3 linked regions of the Elephas maximus indicus genome follow. The protein of the gene in region 1 interacts with the protein of each later gene in a biochemical or structural test. Links are inferred from orthologs where the notes say so. Each region holds a gene or a part of one and is shown on either strand. Other genes may lie near its edges.

Evidence for each region. The genes of interacting proteins can lie anywhere in the genome.
Region 2: of the proteins of CHUK (region 1) and NFKBIB, one has a biochemical effect on the other in vitro, tested with the Homo sapiens proteins (2 studies listed by BioGRID). The link is inferred for Elephas maximus indicus from reciprocal best matches to the Homo sapiens genes CHUK and NFKBIB.
Region 3: of the proteins of CHUK (region 1) and MAP3K14, one has a biochemical effect on the other in vitro, tested with the Homo sapiens proteins (5 studies listed by BioGRID and IntAct, with this or other methods). The link is inferred for Elephas maximus indicus from reciprocal best matches to the Homo sapiens genes CHUK and MAP3K14.

The regions. Positions count from the first base shown.
Region 1 is NC_064834.1:51,889,269-51,897,116, forward strand, and holds the start of CHUK (inhibitor of nuclear factor kappa-B kinase subunit alpha), read right to left. Parts: upstream 3,019-7,848; 5' UTR 2,953-3,018; coding exon 2,848-2,952; intron 1-2,847. Other genes in the region: CWF19L1 (CWF19-like protein 1), read right to left, coding at 6,500-6,644.
Region 2 is NC_064829.1:112,633,619-112,640,510, forward strand, and holds the start of NFKBIB (NF-kappa-B inhibitor beta), read right to left. Parts: upstream 3,019-6,892; 5' UTR 2,921-3,018; coding exon 2,742-2,920; intron 1-2,741. Other genes in the region: SIRT2 (NAD-dependent protein deacetylase sirtuin-2), read left to right, coding at 3,384-3,399, 4,190-4,236. UniProt on the Homo sapiens protein: Inhibits NF-kappa-B by complexing with and trapping it in the cytoplasm.
Region 3 is NC_064837.1:51,659,072-51,666,319, forward strand, and holds the start of MAP3K14 (mitogen-activated protein kinase kinase kinase 14), read right to left. Parts: upstream 3,019-7,248; 5' UTR 2,918-3,018; intron 1-2,917.

The DNA of each region.
Region 1 (7,848 bases):
TCAAGCCTGGAGTTGCAATACCGAAGGATTCTACAGGAAAAAAATATTAAACAATGCAGCATCAAAAGAAGATGGAAGGAAGCTCACTCATCTATGCCAAGAAATTTGGAAGACAGCTACCTGGCCAACTGACTGGAAGAGATCCATATTTGTGCCCATTCCAAAGAAAGGTGATCCAACAGAACACAGAAGTTATAGAACAATATCATTAATATTACATGCAAGTAAAATTTTGCTGACGATAATTAAAAAACGGTTGCAACAGTACATTGACAGGGAACTGCCAGGATTAAAGCTGCACTGAGAAGAGGACATGAAACAATATTACTGCTGATGTCAGATGGATTTTGGCTGAAAGCAGAGAATACCAGAAAGATGTTTACCTGTGTTTCATTGACTATGCAAAGGCATTCCATTGTGCAGATCATAACAAATTATGAATAACACTGCGAAGAATGGTAATTCTAGAACACTTAATTGTGCTCATGTGGAACCTGTATGTAGACCAAGAGGCAGTTATTCAAACAGAACAAGGCAATACTTCATAGTTTAAAAGTCAGGAAAAGTGTGCAACAGGGTTGCATCCTTTCACTATATTCAACCTGTATGCTGAGTAAATAATCCGAGAAGCTGGACTGTATGAAGAAGAATGGGGCATTAGAAGTGTAGACTCATCAGCAACCTCTGATATGCAGATGACACAACCTTGTTTGCTGGAAGTGAAAAAGACTTGAAGCATTTATTGATGAAGATCAAAAACTACAATCCTCAGTATGGACTGCACCTCAATATAAAGAAAACAAAAATCTTCACACATGGACCAATAAGCAACATGATGATAAACAGGGAAAACATTAACAATGTCAAGGATTTCATTTTACTTGGAATTATAATCAACGTCCATGGAAGCAGCAGTCAAGAAATCAAAAGACACATTGTATTGGGCAAATTGGCTGCAAAAGATCTCTTTAAAGTGTTTAAAAGCAAAATGCCACTTTTAGGACTAAGTTATGCCTGACCCAAGCCATGTATTTTCAATCACCTCATATGCATGCAAAAGCTGGACAATGAATACGGAAAATTGAAGAAGAACTGACGCCTATGAACAATGGTGCTGATGAAGAATACGGAGTATACCACGGATTGCCAGAGGAACCTAACAAGTCTGTCTTTGAAGAAATAAAGCCAGAGTGCTCCTTCGAAGCAAGGATAGCACGACTTTGTCTCAGGTACTTTGGACATGTTATCAGGAGGGTCCAGTCCCTGAAGAAGGACATTATGCTTGGTAAAGTACAGGATCAGCAAAAAAGAGGAGGCTTTCAATGAGGTGGATTGAGACAGTGGCTGAAACAATGGGTTCAAGAATAACAATTGTGAGGGTGGCACAGGACTGGGCAGTGTTTCATTCTGTTGTACACAGGGTCGCTATGAGTCAGAACGACTCAACAGCACCTAACAACAGAAACCTGCTTTGCAAAATTTCTTCAGTTCTACCAGTAACATTTGACATTTTAACTGCCCCACAAACATGACTATTCCCTCTTAGACAGGCTCCCATCTCTCTTCACTCCCACCTCACAATATGGGCTACCCACAGCCATGTTCATTAAACAGCAAATCAGGATTTCTTCATTTGATTTCACTTCTTCATTCACAGACCAACTGCTGGCATTTTAGTAATAGCTTAAGTGCCAATCTTGCCCATAAGTTTTCAACTCAAATTCATCTTTCACAAAATAATCTTCCTAGAACACCACTTTTATCTTAACATTTCCTTTTTTAAGCCCAAAGACTGATGATGAGGATGATAACAGCAAAAAGAACACATGTTGGCAGCTAACATCTGAAGGTTTACCATGGGCCAGGCATTGTAGTTTTACATACATTATCTTATTTAACTCTCAAGTGGATCCATGAAGTATATACATTATTACACCCATTTTATAGATGGCAAAACTAAGGCTATACTGCAGGGATTATTATTTCAGGTTCTGTACACCTATAAGGTCTGTAAATGTGTGTCAGGAGACTGTGAACCCCCTCAAATGGCTAGGCCTAAGGTTGTGTGGATGTGCATTTTTGGAAGAAAAGATTCATGGCTTTATTTGAATCTCAGAAGATGCATGACTTGAACATGATTATTAACTGCTGCCACAATGGTTAAACATTCTCAATTAAATCATAATAAAATTCCTGAGTCTGATGTTAGCTGCCCCCCACCTACAATCTTATCTCCTTCCCTGTGAAGCCACTGATCGTTTTCACCAGCTCGTCCTCACACTATTTCCTACCTGAAATGCATCCTCACCTCCAAAGCCAACCCATGCTTTCGAAGGCCTAACTCCAGACCCTCCATGACGCCTTCCTTGTCTACTCCGGTCCCTACAGATATCACACTCACAGGCCTCCAGTCACAAACACGAACACGCACATTCCAACAGACAGCCCCCCTGTAGCCCCATTTTCTCACCCATTCCTGCTCACACGTACACGTTCTGACATTCATCTGCCTCACACACCCTAACATTGTACACTCACAAAGAGACACATAAAGGCACTGTCACACTCACTAAACAGCTTGTCACACCTTGCCACTCATACCAAAAGTTCCCCCTAATAGTTCTATCTCACACGCTGGCCCAGGACCAGTATCACACGTTCCTACGGATATAACCTCAGATTCAGTCACCCAAGTTCACAAGTACAATATCACACACACACACATACCCACTGGCCCACAAACACTGCCTCCAATTCTCACTGACAATCTCTCACACACTGACAGTCCCTAATATTCCACAGACGCTTTGACAAACAGTCACCGCTCCCTCGCGCGTCCGGGCTCACCCGATGCTGATACAGGCAGACGTTCCCGAAGCCGCCGGTGCCCAGCCGTTCCCGCATCTCCCAGGGCCCGCCCGCGCCCGGCCGCAGGCCCGGGGGCCCCTCCATGGGGCGGGAGGGGAAGCTGCCTTATACACCGCCGCTGTTCCAAGGCCGGTTCCGGGACGCCGAGGCTCGCGCGCCTTTCTTCTCGCGAGATATGTGTCATTTCCGGTAACTGCCCGAGGAAAAGCCCCGCCCACGTTGTCCAGCGCTCTCTAAAACGCCGCGGGCGAAAGGGTTGGGAGGCGTGGAGGGTGTTCGTCGTCTGCTTTGGAAGTTTCATGGGTCTGTTACTGGCTGAGAGAGCCCACGTGTTTTTTTCCTAATATTGAAAAATATAAGATCTCTCCAGATCTTACATTCCGTTCAAATCACTTTCTAATCTGTCCTGTATTCGTTTTTTTTTTTTTTTTTTCAAATTTAAGATTGTCTGCATCTCTGTATACACTTCCTTCCCCACACCCCAGCCGTGTATACTCCAACCCTGTCACCCGCTGAACTGGCACTGGCAAAGGCCACTGATGATTTAAATGTTAGGGAATCTCAAGAACTAGGAAGACTTCTGCGCTAAGAGGGTCACTGGTTTGCTCCTTAAACGTCCCCATTCTGGAGTCCTAATATGTGGCATAAATAGTATACAAAACACAACTAACAATGCACAAATACCAGAAGAGAAACTAGATAACTGGGAGCTCCTAAAAATCAAACACACTTGTCAAAAGATGTCACCAAAGGGGGGGGGAACTACAGTTAGAGGGAAAAAAATGTGGCTACGACATATCCAATAAGGATCTAATCTCTAAAATCTGTAAGATGCTGCAACATGTGAACAACCAAAACACAGATAATCCAATTTAAAAATGGGCAAAGGATATGAACAGACACTTCACCAAAGACGACATTCAGGCAACTAACAGACACATGAGGAAATGCTGGTGATCATTAGCCAAGAGAAATGCAAATCAAAACTACAATGAGATACCATCTCACCCCAACAAGACTGGCAGTAATCCAAAAAACACAAAATAATAAATGCTGGAGAGGTTGTGTAGAGGTTGATACACTTATGCACTGCTGGAAATGTAAAATGGTACGATCACTTTGGAAAACAATTTGGTGCTTCCTTGAAATAGAAATACCGTACAATCCAGCAACCCCACACCTAGGAATATATCCTAGAGAAATAAGCACCCTCACACAAATAGACACATGCACACCATGTTCATTCCAGCATTATTCACAATAGCAAAATGATGGAAACAACCTAGGTGCCCATCATCAGATGAATGGATAAACAAATTATGGTACATACCCACAATGGAATACTACACAACGATAAAGAACAATGATGAATCCTCTAAACATCTCGCAACATGGACAAATCTGGAGGGCATTATGTTGAGTGAAATTAGTCAGTCACAAAAGGTCAAATATTGTATGAGACCACTATTATAAGAACTCAAGCTTTAAACGAAGTAGAAAGCATTCTTTGATGGTTACAAGGGTGGAGAGGGAGGAGAAGGGGAATTCACTTACTAGATAGTAGACCAGAATAAGTTCAGTGAAGGGAAAGTCAGCACAACTGGACCAAAGCAAAAGCTAAGAAATTTCCTGGACATATCGAAACACCTCGAGGGACAGACTAGCTGGGGCTGGAGCCTGGGGACCATAGTTCTGGGGGACATCTAGGTAAACTGGCATAACAAAGTTTATTAAGAAAATGTTCTGCATCCCACTTTGGTGAGTGGTGTCTGGGGTCTTAAAAGCTTGGAAACGATGATCTAAGATGCATCAATTGGTCCCATCCTACTGGGTACTTGGAGCAAAGGAGAATGAAGCCAGAGACGCGAGGAAAACATTAGCCCAAGAGACTAAAGGACCACATAAACCAGAGTCTTCACCAGCCTGAGACCACCAATGACTGCCCTAACCAGGAACACAAGAGAGTCCTGGATGGAGTGGGAGAAAAGTGTTGAGCAAAATTCAAATTCCCATAAAAAGACCAGATTTAATGGTCCGACAGAGACTGGAGGAAGCCCTAAAATTATGGCCCCCAGACATTGTTAACCCAGGACTGAAACCATTGCCAAAGCCCACCTTTCAAAGATTAGACAGGAATATAAAAGAAAAAATAATACAAGTGAAGAGTAATTCAATGAGATACACGAGACCAAATGGGCAGCTTCTGTCCAGAGGCAGGATGAGAAGGCAGAAAAGGACAGGAACTGGTTGAATGGACCCAGGGAACCTAGGGTAGAAAGGGGAAGTGTACTGTCACATTGTGGGGATTGCAAGTAATGTCACAAAACAATATGTGTATACGTTTTTGTACGAGAAATTAACTTGAGCTATAAGTTTCCACAATTAAAAAAAAAAAAAGTACTCATTCTTAGGGATACGGCATAGCTCATTTTTTTAAATCCCAGGCTGGTAGGCCCCAGACTCCACAATCAAGTTTGTGAGTCTCAGCTTCATCAGGTGTAAAATGGAAGTGGTGATACCCACCTCGTAGAGATTTTGTAAGGACTAAGTGAAATCCAGTGTCTGGGCCATAAACCTGTTGCCATTCAGCCTATTCCGACTCATGGCGACCCTATAGGACAGAGTAGAACTGCCCCCATAGTGTTTCAACTGCCACATATTTCTCCTCTGGGCCACACATGCCCAATATATAGGAGGAATTTTTTTGACAGTCTCCTGAGATCTCTCTCTTTGCTTCTTCTCCATGTACTTGTTGGATCACTCCAAGTACTCCTTAAATAGTAATACTTCTCAGGTAGTCATCCTCAGCTTAGAGCTTTAACTCTTATTTTCATCCATCCTTTTTATTTAATGTACTGCCTATATCCTGATGATACCCAAATCCCTATCACCAACCTAAATCTCCATGAGTTTAGAACTCTCCAGCAGCACCCAGGATGCATCCGTTACAAATCTTTGGCATCTAAAACTCAACATATCCAAAGCAGAAATCATCTTTTTTTCTTAAATCTGTCCCTTCTCTTCCCAATTAGACTGTAAACTATGGGACAACAGGGACCATGTTAGGACATAACTATACTCCCAGAGCCTAGAAAAGTGCCTAGCACATAGGAGTTAAATATTTGCTGAAGGACTGAATGAGCTTTTATGCATCAGTAAGATGACTGCTATAAAAGAAAAGTGGCAAAGGCCTTGGGTCCCTTCTCAAAACTAGGTTGCTCAGGGAGAAGCCACCCTGGGTGATTCTGGGATGAAACACTGGGCCTAAAACCCTGGCCCCTCCTATTACATGCACTACATCATTTCAAGGATCACAGGTAACATGAACACAAGACACTTCTCAACCATAGAAAAGCCTTTGGATTTTATTTGATAGTCTACATGTTTTTTAAAATGTTGATAAACACAAGCTGGTACTTGGAGCTGGATGACAGACATGCTTTTAACATAGGACTTTCATCCTAGAATGTGACTTCTTCCAAAAATTATTCAGTCCTAGACCTTTTGCTGTGGGCAGGTTCCACGGGAATACATGAAAGAGAGGCAGGGAAACAGTCCTCATAGGAAACTGCAGTTTCTTTAAAAACAGGTGGATGAACCTGTGAAGTTCGTAAAGTGTCTTTCCCTTTAGTTAGTCATCCAGAGTGAAGTCAAAGGGCTCAAAGTCTTTCCGGAAGCGGCGGGCTAGGGTCTCTTCCTCTTCTCTGCTGATCTGACACTGCCTCCAATCGGACTTGTCAGGAATATTAAGAATGGCTTCACTGGCCAGGACCTCCCTGCAGAAAGGACACAAAGAAGTCAAAATGGACAGTATCAGCCCCAAAATCCCTCCTCCCTCTGTTCTTCACCAGCCAGAGAGCTCTCCTCAGCATCACCCAAAGAAGGTATGCAAATTTCTCTGACTTTGCTCATACCATTCTCCTGCTCTGAGCGCCACTGCTGCCATCTGTCTACTAAAATCATACCCATTTTAAGTGACCAGCTCAGGTCCTACCTCTTTCCTAATAGCTTGTACCCCATTAACTTCTTTTCTTGAACAAACTTGGAACTATGGAATTGGTACTTAGAGAAGCAATATGGCACAGTAGAAAGAAGGCAGGCCCTGGAGTCAGACCGCAGATAAATTCCATTCCTAGCTTAGCCACATGCTGTCTATGACTTGAACAAATGACTTTCAGCTGTGAGTCTTGATTTCCTCATCCACGAAATGAGAACACCTACTACCACCTACCTTACAAGGCTTTGCGAAATGGGGAGCTAACACAGAGCACCACAATAGTTGTACTTACATCCTGCCTTAAACTCTAGTTTTGACATCCCAACTAGATCAGGAGTTTGCCAAGGGCCTGGTGCAGTCAGACACTCAAGTGTCATACCCACTCTGACTTGAAATTCCTCTGCCTCTCCTTCTAAGGATTCAGGTCTAGACAGGCACAGCAGCATAAATTCACTCTCAACAAAACAACTTATCTTGGCCCTCAGGACTAAAAAATAACCACACACAGACACACATATAAAATGTCACTACGTACAAACTTTCTTCTAATTGCCATTGCTTTTTTATCTTTATTTTTACTTATTTTTGATATATTAGAAATAACTGTTTGCATATCATATGGTCCATATTCCACTTTGAAGCTATGATAAATAGAAGGGTTGAATTCAAATCACACAAATCCTCTAAAAGTCAAAGGACCTGAACTCAAGTCCTAGCTCTCTAGGCAAACCTTTGAGCCTACTTCATCTATAAAATGAAGATGGCACTACCTTTCTTGTATAGCTGGAAAAAAAAAAGCCTTTTCAAGTATTTTGTTAACTACAAATTGCTGTAATAACTGTAAATAGTATTTTAGAAAACAATGCTGAAAATACAACTGACTATCATGAACACAAAACCATGCACAGAATCTCCCTTTTGTGGGCTCTATATTTTTGATCACATGCCTATGTCATCAGTGTCCACATCTGTATCTGTTGCTG
Region 2 (6,892 bases), on another chromosome or scaffold:
TGGATCAGGTGGACACTTGAGGCTATGCTGGCATCGCCTCCCTGGAGGGGAGATGAGAGGGTGGAGGGGGTTAGATGCTGGCGAAATGGAACGAAAAGAGAGAGTGGAGGGAGGGAGTGGGTTGTTTCATTAGGGGGAGAGCAATAGGGAGTATGTAGCAAGGTGTATATAAGTTTTTGTGTGAGAGACTGACTTGATATGTAAACTTTCACTTAAAGCACAATAAAAAAAATTTTTTTTAATGCCCTTTAAATATAAAGACACAAATAAGTTAAAAATTAAAAGATGGAAAAGATATACCATGCTAACGCTGGTCACAAGAAAGCTGGAGTATTTTATTATCAGAGTAGAGCCGTTAATATCAGAGCTTCAAAATACACAAAGCAAAAACCAACAGGATTACAAGGAAAAACAGACAAATCCCCAATTACAGTTGGAGATTTCAATACACCCCTCTCAATAATTGGTATAACAAGTAGACAGAAAATCAGCAAAACTAGAAAACACTATACACCAACTTGACCCAACTGACCTTTGGAAAACGCTCCTTGCAACAATGGCATAACGCACATCCTTCTCAAGCACACATGTAACATTTACCGAGACAGACCATATTCTGGGCCATAAAACAAGTCTCAATAAATTCAAAAGGATTCAAACCATACTAAGTATGTTTTCTGGCCACATGAAATCAAATTAAAAAATCTGTTAACAGAAAGAAGCGTGGAAAACCTTCCAAATATTTGGAAGCTAAACAACATACTTTTAAATAACCCAAGGGTCAAATAAGAAATCAAAAGAGAAATAGAAAGCATATTGAATTAAATGAAAATGAAAACACAACACATCAGAATTTGTGAGATATTGCTAAAGCAGTACCAAACCAAAACCAAACCCACTGCCGTCGAGTCGATTCCAACTCACAGCGAACCTACAGGACAGAGTAGAGCTGCCCCATAAAGCGTCCAAGGAATGCCTGGCGGATTCGAACCGCCAACCCTTTGGTTAGCAGTCGCAGCACTTAACCACTACACCACCAGGGTTTCCACTAAAGCAGTAGTAAGGGGAAAATTTATACAGCTATACGCCTGTATCAGATAAAAGGGAAAAGGCTCAAGTCAATAAGCTCAGCTCCTATCTTAGAAAGTTAGGAAAAGAAGAATAAATTAAAACTAAAGTAAGAAGAAAGGAAATAATTAAGATCAGAACAGAAATCAATGAAATAGAAAGCAGAAAAACAACAGGGAAAATTAATGAAAAAACAACCTGGTTCTTTGAGAAGGCCAATGTTTATTAACTGCCAAGGAAAAGAGAGTCCTGGAGATCTACTTCTAAAAAACCAAAAAAAACAGCCACTGAAAATACTGTGGAACACAGTTCTACCGACACACATGGGGTTGCCGTGAGTTGGAACGGACTTGAAGGCAACTGGTTGGTATGGATCTAGGAGATGGTGGGTGGTACAAATGGTTAACATGGTTAACATCCTTGGCTGCTAACCGAAAAGCTAGAGGTTTGAATCCACCTAGAAGCACCTAGGGAGAAAGGCCTGGAGATCTACTTCCAAAAAATCAGCCATCGAAAACCCTGTGGCACACAGTTCTGCTTTGATACACGTGGTGTTGTCATGAGACAGCACCAACTTCACAGCAACTCGTTGGTTACTACGGGTCTGGCACTGTCCAAGTCACTGGGGTACAGCAATAAACAAAACTGACAAAAGACCCCAGGCCTGTATGACTGCTATTCCTTCTGCCTGCAATTCTCTTCTTTCCAGATACCTATTTGTCTCATTTTCCTGCTATTTCTCCGTAACACTTGCTATCTTCTGATAGACTATGTTTTTATTTCCTTCCTTCCTGTCTTTCTTTCTGTCTGACCTTCTGTCTGTCTAGCTCTCCCACCTAGAATGTATGCTCCATAAGGACATAACTTTTTGTCTGTTTTCTTCATAACCTTATCACTGGCATCTAAAACAGGGCCTGGCACATGGTACCAAAAAAAAAAAAAAAAACCCACTACCATCCAGTCAATTCCAACTCATAGTGACCCTATGGGATAGAGTAGAATTGCCCCCATAGGGTTTTCAAGGAGCGGCTGGTGGAGTCAAACTGCTGACCTTTTGGTTAGCAGCCAAGTTCTTAACCACTATGCAACCAGGGCTTCAAAACATGGTAGTTTTCAATAAATATTTGTTGAATGGATGAATCCCTGCTCTCATGGAGCTTACAATCTCTCTCTGAATGAAAGATTTGAAAATTACTGCTCCAGAGGCAGGACCTTAGAGTCAGGGGCCAACTATAATGTCAGAAATCAAAGTCTAGGCTTACAAATCATGAATTAAGGATTAAAGACCATGTCTGGAGGTTAGAGGTCAGGAGGTTAGAGGTCTCGGGCCACATGAGGTCAAATTGGGTTTTGGGATCAGTGGGTTAGGGATGTGGATTCCAGGAACTAAGAATCAAGAGTTCAAGAAAGGAGAGTCAAAAATGATTGGGTTTAAAAAAAAAATTTACATATATATATATATACACACACATATATGGTTAAGATCAAAGTTGGATAGATTGATTTATTAAAGATTAGGATTTGGGAGTTAGACGTCAGGAAGTCAAGGATCAGAGGTCAGATTTAGGAGTAAAGGTTAGAAAGCCGGATCAGACCACTGGGGTATCAGGTAAAGCTGATCTTATCCGAGGTTGGATCCTTGGGGCCGGTTCGGGAGTCTAAGGTTCACTCACGTGTCCCCATCCTCAGTGACGTAGCCGAAGACGAGGGGCACCCACGAAAGCCCCGGGCCCAGCTCTGCGCCCAGCCCCGGTCCTCCGGGGACCGCTGCGTCCGGACCCAACGAGCCCAGGCCGCTGTCGCACCACTCATCCGCATCTGCGGCTTTCCCCAAGCACGCGACCCCGGCCATGCCCCCCTCTGCCTCCGGGACCCCAGAGGCCGCCCTCCGCCAGCCTGCCTGCCTCTGGGCTGTGCCCGGACCTCTGGAGCTTCCGCCCTGCGGGGAATTCCCCAACACTCCCCCTACTGTCTCCAATAAGAGTGGGCTAAATCGCTCACGTCCCGCCCAATCTCGCACCAAGACCAATCAGAGTGTCGGAATGGACTACAGCTCTCGACCTGTTCCCACATTTTCCGGGCGCCCTTTACCAACATGGCTGCCGACGCGCGGCCCTCTGGGACTCGTAGTCCGGCTCTCGTGTACCTTCCTTATCCGGAGGGACGCGCTCCGATCTTTGAGAGAATCGCTTGTCTGCGGCCGCTATTGCTTCTGGGAGTTGTAGTTCTCTGCCTCTTCCTTGCCTCTCCCCCTTCCGGTGCCGTCACGGGACAGAGCAGTCGGTGACAGCCCCGAGGGCCCCGGCCCCGCGCCCATGGCCGAGCCGGACCGTGAGTCGAGGGCTCTGGTGGGAGGGACGGGCCGCACCGGGGCCTGGTTTCGTGATCCAGGCCCTGGGGCCCGAGAGCGGGCGCGGTGGGGCAGGAGGTGGAGGCTGCGTGGGGGAGTGGAATTTGAAGGGCCATTGCTAAATGCTCTGTGTCGATAGGTTGTTGGGTTTCTGGGTCGCGAGGTTTTAAGGGTCACTTTACCGTGTTACTGATAATCGCATGTTTTTCGACCCTCGTTGCTAAGGACCCTCGTTGCCGCGATCCCGGTTGCTAAGGGTACCTGGTTGTTAGGGGCAGCTGTATGATGCTAGGCGGCCCCGGTGTTCCCTCCTATCTCTTCCCTCTAGTTCCTGTACCTCTCCTAAACCTACCACCGCCACCGCACCTCCTCTCCCAAACCCGCCTCCCAGCCAGGGTATCCCTTCCTACCTCCTTTCTTCCTAAATTTCCCTCCACCCTGGAAACCTAACCCCCTCAACACACACACACGGCTGTGCCCTTTCTAACTCTTTCTAACTCTTCTTCCACACCCTGTATCCCTTCCTTTCTCCTCTCTGTCCCCCTAAACCTGTCCCTCCCCTGCCTCTCTGTCCCTCACTAGCCACCTCCCTTCCCAGCAATCTCCACTCTAATATGATCAGCTTTTCCTCATCCCCTCCTCTCTACTCCTTACCCCAGTGTGACTAGGTCGGTGGGTCTTCTGGGTCCCCCTACTCCCGCTCTTAACCCCTTCATTCCCCCTTAACCATCCCCCCCTGCTGTAACCATGTCTGCTCCCCTCCTCCCCCAGCCTCTGACCCTCTGGAGACCCAGGCAGGGAAGGTGCAGGAGGCTCAGGTGAGATGGGGTAAAGGGTGGAATGGAGGGAAGGAGACAGATGGACTTGTTCCTACATCCCACACTGGGGGAGGCGGCAGAGGGAAACCAGTTCCCCTAGGGCCCCCAGCTCACTGCCCCAGGCCCTCTCCCCCACCCAGGGTGCAGCCTCCTGGGGAATGGTGGATTCTGGTGACTTTCAGAGAAGGGTGTGTTACCCCAGTCCCAGGCCTGCCCTCCCAGGTTCCCTCTTTCCTTGTCCCTCTTCCCCCCATCCCTTCTGAACCTCATTTGTACTGGGCCTGGGAGAGACACACATCAGATTTGGTCCCTGAACTCACGGCTCTCACAGAAAAATCACTAGAAAATGAGTCTATAAGGGAATAATGGAGGTATCTCAGGCCACTGTGGGAGTAAGCCTTGTGGGATCACAGACTCTACCTAGCCCCTTCCCTGGAGGAATCCACAGGCTGGCCTAGGAGTCAGATTGAGATATAGACACAGTGTAGTCGGTGAAGACTGGCTTAGAATGTTCCTACACAAGGTGACAAATGGTGTTCCAAGCAGAGGATGTAGTTTGTGCAAAGACCTGGAGGCATGAAAGACTGTGATCTGTTCAGTAGTTTGGTGGCTGGGGATGGTTGTTGTTAGGTGCCATGAGTTGATTCCAACTCGTAGCAGCCCCATGTGACTGAGTAGAACTGTCCTATAGGATTTTCTAGGCTGTAATCTTTACAGGAGCAGATTGCCAGGTCTTTCTCCCAGGTAGCCACTGCATGCTTTCGAACCCCCAATCTTTCAGTTAGCCACTGAGCACTGGCCGGTTGCACCACTAGGGCTCCTTTGGCTAGGAATGGTCGAATAATTATATCCATGGCTAGCATTGATTGAGTGCTTACTCTGTGCTGGAAACGCTGGTGGTATAGTGGTTAAGTACTACAGCTGCTACCCAAGAGGTCGGCAGTTTGAATCTGCCAGGCGCTCCTTGGAAACTCTGTGGGGCAGTTCTACTCGGTCCTATAGGGTGGCTATGAATTGGAATCTACTCAACAGCAGTGGGTTTGGGTTTTTTTGGTTACTCTGTGCCAGGCACTCTGTTTAGTGCTTTGTATGCATCGCCTGGTTTAACCTTCCCGATATCCCTGGGAGGCACACGCCCGTTGTGTAGATGAGGAATCTGAGGTATCTGGGGTATCTGGGGCAGAGGTGATAAGACTTGCCTTCTGTCCCTTGGCTAGAAGAGCAGGAAAGGGTTTGGAACTCAAGACCTTCAGCATACTGCCCTCCAGACACTGAGACGACAGGGCCGCCTCCTAGAAGCTGGAGGCTGGAAGACTTCGCCAGCACCTCCACCTCCCCTGTAGGCAAAGCTGCCCCTGGCTGGGCAGGGCCCTGGAGTCCTCCCACAGAGCCTCTTTGTCTCCAGCCCACCCACAGATGCGAGATGGCTTTGCAGATGTAGACCAGTGTAGATGCTGGGATTAAAGTACCTCACAGAGGCATAGCACAGTGACACTGAGGGTATGAGAGCTTCCCCTCAGGCCAGGGTTTCAAACCCCCCTAGCTCCCAAAGCACCACTGCTGTCATGTGGGGTCCAGAGAAAAAGGCTTAGTATTAGAAAGGGATCCTCAGTCCCCGAGAGAGATGGAGGACGTAAATCGCAGCATTGTCTCTGCAGTGTGGCAAAGCTGGAAACAGCTCAAATGGCTGTCAGTAGATGAGTTAAATGAACTGGTTCGTCCATACAATGGGACGCTATGCAGTTGCTTAAAAGGAGGAGGTGGGTCTGTACTGTACTGTTCTCTGGAAAACTGCAAGGTGCAGCCTCAGACTAGGGCCTGACCCATTTCTATCAAAATAGTGAACGTTTACATGTAGAGGAGAAAGCTGGCATAATTAACATCAAAACTTAACTAATAGCGGTTATCTCGATGGGGCCTGGGAGAGAGAACCATGAGGCAAGTGCCCCAAGTTACACATTTTCTAACCTTCAAAGTTTTTGCAAAGCTTGTGTAATCTTAAAAAGTGTCAAAGAAAGAATCATACCAGATAGTGTTAAAACATGGCGAGGGTGACTTTGATTCAAAGGGAAGTTGCAAGGGGAGGGGAAAGAAATACAAAACTGGATGGATGGAGCACTGTAGTGGGAGGAGAGGGAGCACTAAGGGTGAGACAGGGACACCAGGACTGTGTCTGACCCCCAGCCCTCTGAGATGCAGGACTGTGAGCTTTTCAAAAGAAAGTTAAGGGGGATGCTGGGGAGTCCCTGGGCGGTCCAAAAGGTTAATGTGCTGGCTGCTAACTGAAAGGTTGGTAGTTCGAGTCCTCCCAGAGGCACCTTGGAAGAAAGGCCTGACAATCTTCTTCTGAAAAACTCCGCCATCAAAAGCCCTGTGGAGCACAGTTCTACTGTGACGCACATGGGGTCACCACAAGTTGGAACTAACTCGACAGCAAATGGTTTTTTTTTTTTGGTGAATATTATACCGCGGTTGTGATTAGGGCCTGTTTGCGCAGAATTTTTTTTTTTTCTGTCATAAGGCACCTGGATCTTGGGGGACCCAGTATGCATTGGAGGTAAGGAAGGGGAAGCTAAAGTTATTCAAGGAGAGTAAATCGTTATGTCTTGGTCAGTGCCTTGCAGTAAGCCCTGTCATTTGGAAGGGGAGGTTCTGA
Region 3 (7,248 bases), on another chromosome or scaffold:
GTCACTCTCAGGTTATAAGACAAGCCCAGAACTTAAGACCCCATATCTAACAGACTTCAATGTCCCACCAGCTCAACTGAAATGATCTCCTACACAACTTGCCCTATGTCTGGCCTTCCATTTCTCATCTACTGCTTTCGACATTTCAGTCAGCATCACCAAGTACATGCAAAGCCTTCACACGTGCATCATTTTACGTGTTCACGCTACCCCTTGGAGCTGCTCAGCTGCACTCCTTTCCCTTACTAGGGACCTTGGTGTTCCGAGGCCAGAGGGGCTGGCTTATCCTTACAATTCCCAATAATCCACTGACACAGATTTTCCCCCCATGTCAATTTCATGCTGGTGCCGTCAAAAGTGCCCATAATGCTCCGATGTCTCCAGTTTAACTGAAACACTAAAATGGGGCAAACAGGAAGCATCAGACACAACTGCGGTAGTGACTTATTAATCATGAAAGCAGAATTTTAGTTGCATTTTAACCTTTTGCCAGGAAAAAAAAAAACAGCTTTGAGATGATGGAAGCCTTGGTAGAAATATGCTGCCTGATTGTGTATGAAGCTTATACTTGTTCTTTAGCAATGAATTAGGTTTTAAGATTTTTTAACGTTTCCCCAAGCAAGTACATCTGTCAAGTCAACCAATGTGAATCTGTCAGCTCTTCATCAAGGTGGCTAGGCCTGTCAGGAAAGCCCATGTGGTATCCATTGAAACAGGAAAAAAATAGGAAACTAAAAGTGACTTCATAGGCCAAAGGGACAGAACACTCTTAAGAGGGTGCCAACAAGGAAGAAAACAGCCCTAGATGAAGCTTCACCTCTCACATTTCTACAGATCTCTCACTAGACTCAGGTCATGGATGGACTGTTATCACTCACCAAAAAAAAATCACAACAGTTGCCTAGGGTTGGACAGCCAATCAGGGCAAGTCCACTTCTCAGCATGAAATGATACACAAACACTCCAAGCAGATCACAAAGGAGGCAATGTTCAACAGGAGAATCAAAATGAGGAACCAAATCTCCATCTGTTGAGGCGAAACAGCCTGGCCAGACATTTTTGTTTAATAGATGAAGGCTCATCTGGCAGGGTCTCTGTCAATGGTGCCACTCCCACAAACTCTGACAGACAATACCAGGGGCAAAAAACCCCTTTAGAACTCCTCCTTATCATCTGAAAACACTCAGGAGACAGCCTAAAACTTAGCAGCTTACTGCTGTCTGATTTCACAAAAGTGCTGAAACATATACCTGGGTTCTTATTTCTAAAATTAAAGTCAGAGACTACAACTTTTATTTTGAGACCTTCTGAGAAGTTCACCACACCCTTCAAAATAAATGAGGATGTCCTAAAGGTGTCTGAACATCTTAGAGGTCTGCTATCACTGAACCAAAGAAACTAACTTTGACATTACTTTAAAAAACCAAGAGTAAATCTGAATGCATCTTAAGCAAGACGAGCACCTTCTAAGTGTCTTCTCACATTAAGAGCATAAATACCACACCAAACACTGCTCCCTCTTTCCTACATCTGAGTCCCATAATGTGGTTCTGGTCCAGGGGAAGGAGTGCAGAAATGACTTGAGCGACTCAGGCTCAAGTCCCCCACTATCAATGTACGAGGCATCAGGCAATATACATAATTCCCACCACCACCTCCCTCAGGTACTTCACTTATAAAACAGGACAATACTATCTATCTTAGCACAGAGATGTCTGAAGGGAAAAAGGGGTTACAGGTATCAAGATACTTAGATACTTAAGTAAAGTAAAAAATACATCACAAATGTTAAGATACTAATCTCCCTATAATCTTTCATAAAGACCATGCTTCTAGTCAAGGGGTTTTCAACCTTTTTCCAGGAATAAACTTCAGACTGCTAGTTTGTGTCATGGTCCAATCTTATCATTTAATTTCATTTGCTTTTAGAGTTCTTAGTCCTTAAACATCACTACTGTTCTTTGGCTCCAAGTAACAAAAATAATTTTACCATTTTTACTGCTGATTTCTGTACCTTTTCTGCATTCGTCCTTTTTGAGAGCCAAGAGCAACATGTTAAACTCAGCTAGGAAGTAAACACGTTTCTGAAGTTTACCGAGAACCAGGGAGGCTCCTAGGCAGGTGGGAACCTCTGCACTGTACAAGTGTCCTCTTTCTGTCTGGTGCCCGGTCGCTTCAAGTTGCCAGGGCCACGATGGGCTTCCAAGTGGTAATATTATATCTTAGCCGGCAGATAAGAATGTCCTCAGTGGAAAGGGCTGAAGAATTAAAGAGCAGGGCTGGGGCCAGAGGAAAGAGGGAAGATGCTCCGGCGGCCAGCACTGCCCCGCTGGATGCCAAGGGCAGGCTCTGCTCCTTCTCCCCGCCTCGGAGCGTGACCCACGAACTTCCCGGGGACGGCCACGAGAGTTTCACTGGCCAGGGCAGGTGGCAAGGCGCACGGGCCGGGCGCACATCAGCATAAGACACCTTGCTCCCGGAGCGAAGAGAGCCCCGATCCTGGAGGGCACCCGGGGGGTGCGGGGAGGGCGCGGCCTAGCGGTGGGGGCATCTGAGCGCAGTGGAAGAGGGGGTGTTGGGGAAGGGGAAGCAGCGCGCCCCTGCGGGCGATTGGGGCGAGCGTGTGGCCTGGGGGGGGTGGTGAGCGGCCTGGAGGCCTGGAGCGAGCAAAGCGTGCGACTGTAGCCCCGGCAGCGCGTGTGAGCTAGGGCAGGCGGCCGGCCGCGACTGCCGACAGCCCGTGCGCGGGTGGGTCGGACCAGGAGGGCCGGGCCGCGCGGGACCGGACGGCCGGCTCCCCCGCTTAAGGGGCGGCGGCAGGCCAGGCCGTGGCCAGGCCATGGGCTGAGGAGCAAGCTGTCCCCGCCGCCCCCTGAGCGCCCCACGACGGGCCCTGGGGTCCGGCTCAGTCACCTACCGGCCGAGCGCCGATTTCTCCAGCCAGCGAGTGTCGCGCTCCTTTCTCCCACGATCTCCCGCCGCCGGTCACCGACCGCTGAGCTCCCAGCCCACGGTCGCCCCGCCCCACGGACGCCCAGCCCCGACCGCGGGCCCCGCCCCCTCATCGCCTTCCCGGCCGCCCCCGGGGCCACGCCTCCCCCGGCGGCTGCAACTTTGCCTCTCTTCGCGCCTGCTTTCTCTGGCCGCGTCTCGACCTTTGGCCCCTCCCACTCCTCCAAGATAACCAATGAGACGGGCCCAATACTAGCCCAGGCTCTCCCCGTTGTCCCGCCCCTCTAGCGGCGATTGGTTAACGAGGCCTCGTTTCCAGAAATGGGCACTATTTCCGGACAGTGTTTATAGAGAAGAGATTGCTGGGCGGACAGATTGACAGAAAGCGGAGGCGGCCGAAGTGATTGGTGTAACCACACATGCGCGCTCGGCTGCGGGCAGTCTTTTTACCGGTTGCGTTTTTCTTGAGGTTACGGGAAGGAAAGGAGAGTGTGCGCATGCGTGGGCACTCCCAGCCTCTGATTTCGGTTACCTTGGAGACGGCGAGGCGCACCCCCTCCCGGGTGTCGTTCCACTTCCCCTTTGCTGCCAGGCGGAGGCTGCTGAGGTCGGGGGTGATGGGATTAGAAATACTTTTGTTGAGCACTTACTGTATGCCTGACTCTGTAGAGTCCTTGAGGACGAGTAAGACAAGTTACGGTGCCTGCCCTCGAAAAGCTTAGGGAGCCAAGGGCCTACACAGGTCACAGGTCGGATAAAAACGTGTGTTCAAATCAGAGCCCAATGAGAGCGTGCGGCTGACGTGATGCAAAGCCTCCCCTGCCAGAGAAACAACGTGGTGCTAACCCTGGGCGAAGCATCTCCTCGCTGGGTATGCAGGTTACCAAACCAAAAACCAAAGCCATTGCGGTTGAGGCTACTCCGACTCATAGGGACCATAAAGGTTACAAAACCAGAAAGATTAAAGCCTTGCATATGCAAAGAAAGGACTTGAGTTTAAATACCACCGAGGTGTCAACAGTGCTTCTGTCTGAATGGGGAGGAGGGATTGGGGAGAGGGAGTAGAGATAGAAGGTATGGATATTTTTTATTTTCTAAGTTACCTATCTTTTTTTTCCAGTGTTTCTACAGTGAGCCAGTACTTCATAGTAAAAAAAAAAAAAATCAAAAATTATTTTTAAAAGTTTGCGAAATAAAAGATGTGCCCCTTCCATGGTAACCCCCCCCCCCATCAGGGACTCACACAAGTTGTGACTGGCTCTAATGGTAACGGTGAGGAGGCCCCATCAAAGGCAGCTGCCTTGAGCAGTCTCTAAAAGGGTTTGAACAAAGGCCAGGCCACTCTGCTGGAATCACACTTTTCAGACAGTCTTTGGTAGCTCAAAGCCTCTTTCTGAAGATCGGCACCCAACAAACACCTTCTCTTGGGTAAGGTGTTTGTTGGGTAAGGTGTTAGGGAAGACTATTCATTTAGGCACGGAGCCCTGTGGCGAGGTGGTCAAGATCTCAGGCTGCTAACTGTAATGTTGGCAGTCCGAATCCACCAGCTGCTCCTTGGAAACTCTATGGGCAGTTCTACTGTGTCCTATAGGGTCACTATGAGTTGGAATTGACTTGAGGGCATACAACAACATTCATTTAGGCAGGGGTCACAAACTCACAACCTGCGGGCCTCACCCACTCTCCCAGGCCAGAGACATGTTTTGTTTGGCTGGCCCAGTGGTTTTTATTTGTTTGTTTTTTAATTTAATACCTTAGCAGCGCCTGCAGTTCTTTACAGCCTCCACCCCTGTTGTCTTGTGTGCAACCACTTAACCTTATGCCACCTGTCTGCCCCTGAAGCATTTGAGGTTGTGGCCCCATAAAGCCTGTGCTTTGGAGCCAGATATCTGATGCAAATCCTGGCTCTGCCACTGACTAGCAGGGAGATGGTGGGTAAGAATGAAGCTGGACTGTTGGCTCCTAAAGCTCCCTCCAACCCCAGGGTTCTGTGTTTCAGTGACTCAGGGAGAGGTGGAGCTTGCCAGATGGTAGGTTACAGGTTAGTGTCCGTGGGCTTGGATTCCTGGGCTTGGATTCATGTCTTGCCTCTCCTCTCACCTGTTTCCTCTGGGCACACCACTTCTCAGGAAGGACGTGGGCACAGACCCAGATTCTGCAAATGCTCCCTGGCTCAGCTTTGCCTTCCCTCTCTTTCATCATTCCTTCTCTAGTACACAGTGCCCACGTACCTTCTCCAGGCTCCCTTGGCACTTCTCTAATCTTGGGCCCCCTGCATGCCCGACTCACCCCACTAAGGTTATCTGCCCCGAGAAGCTGGAATATATGAAGAAGAACAGGACGTCAGGATTGGTGGAAGACCCTTTAACAACTGTGATACGCAGATGTCAAAACCTTTCTTGCTGAAAGTGAAGACAACTTGAAACACTGATGGAGATCAAAGACTACAGCCTTCAGTATGGATTACACCTCAACATAAAGAAAACAAAAATCCTCACGACTGGACCAATGAGCAACATCACAGTAAACAGAGAAAAGATTGAAGTTGTCAAGGATTTCATTTTACTCGGATCCACAATCAACAGCCATGGAAGCAGCAGTCAAGTCAGAAGACACATTGCATTGGGCAAATCTGCTGGAAAAGCAAAGATGTCACTTTTAAGGCTGAGGTGCTCCTGAGCCAAGCCATGGTGTTTTCAGTCGCCTCATATGCATGCAAAAGCTGGACAATAAATAAGGAAGATCGAAGAAGAACTGATGCCTTTGAATTATGGTGTCGGTGAAGAATATTGAATAAACTATGGACTGCCAGAAGAATGAACAAATCTGTCTTGGAAGAAGTACAGCCAGAATGTTCCTTAGAAATGAGGATGGTGAGACTTTGTCTCACATACATTGGACATGTTATCAGGAGGGACCAGTTCCTGGAGAAGGACATCATGCTTGGTAAAGTAGAGGGTCAACAAAAAAGAGGAAGACCCTCAATGAGATGGATTGACGCAGTGGCTACAACCAGGGGCTCGAACATAGCAACGATGATGAGGATGGTGCAGGACTGGGCAGTGTTTCGTTCTATTGTACATAGGGACATTATGAGTAGAAACTGACTCAATGGCATGTAACAACAATGACAACACTAATGTGATTAACGGGAGAGATTGAACTCTTTGGCCCAAAGCTGTGGCTCTGGAGAAGGAATTTCACGTTAGGTTGCAGGGAAGGAACCAGGGAAAGAACTGGTAGGAACTCCTGCTGAGAATTTGCCTTTCTGTCCCAGATATGGAAACCCTGGTGGCATGGTGGTTAAGTGGTATGGCTGCTAACCAAAGGGTCAGCAGTTCGAATCCACCAGGGGCTCCTTGGAAACTCTATGGTGCCGTTCTATTCTGTTCTATACGGTCACTATGAGTCAGAATCGACTCGATGGCACTGGGTTTGGCTTTTTTTTTTTTGGTCCCAGATATACTGAATCAGAATCTACAGCTAAACAAGATCCCCAGGTGAATCTTATAGATGATAATTGTTGATAACCACTGCTCTACTGGTGGTTCTCAGAATTGGTCCCTAACTAGCAGCATAGCATCACCTGGGAACTTACCAAAAATGCAAATTTGCAGCAGGAGTTCAAACCAGAACAAATCAGTTCAAAGTCCTGGAAGGAACAAACCACCCAGTGAGGAAGATATCTGGAGACAAGCAGGGTTTTGGCTGCTTTTCTCGGTCTTTCTAAGCCCCTTCAAGTGAGCCCCTTGGAGTCTCTGAGTCTTGAAATGCTTCATTTTGCACCCCCTGGAAGGAGAGCTTCAGGGCAAAATCACTTCCTCCACGCCAGGCTAGTTAGGTCACCACAGCCTGGGATGGCTCCTAGTCCTGAGTCACTGGTATGGCCTCAGTTCTGCTTTCAATAAAAGAAATTGACATTTACAGAGTGATTCACACCTGGAGCAGTGAGCAAGGTTCTCAGCGCTCAAGGGTTTCCACATTCCACCCCAAAGGCTTGGATCTGGAAATAGAAAGGTTAGACCATGATCTTCCACAAAGAAAAATCTCAGAATAACAGCTCCTATTTTTTGAGTGTTTACTAGTTGCCAGACACTGGTAAGTACTTGCTTCTTGGGCATGATCTCACCAAATCTTCACCTCTAATCCAGGGTTTCTCAACCCTGACACTATTGACATTTTGGGTTGGATAATTTTTTGTTGTAAGGGGCTATCCTGTGCACTGTAGGATGTTTAATAGCATTCCCGGCCTCTACCCACTAGATGCCAGTAGTCCCTCCCAGCCAGAGTTGTGAC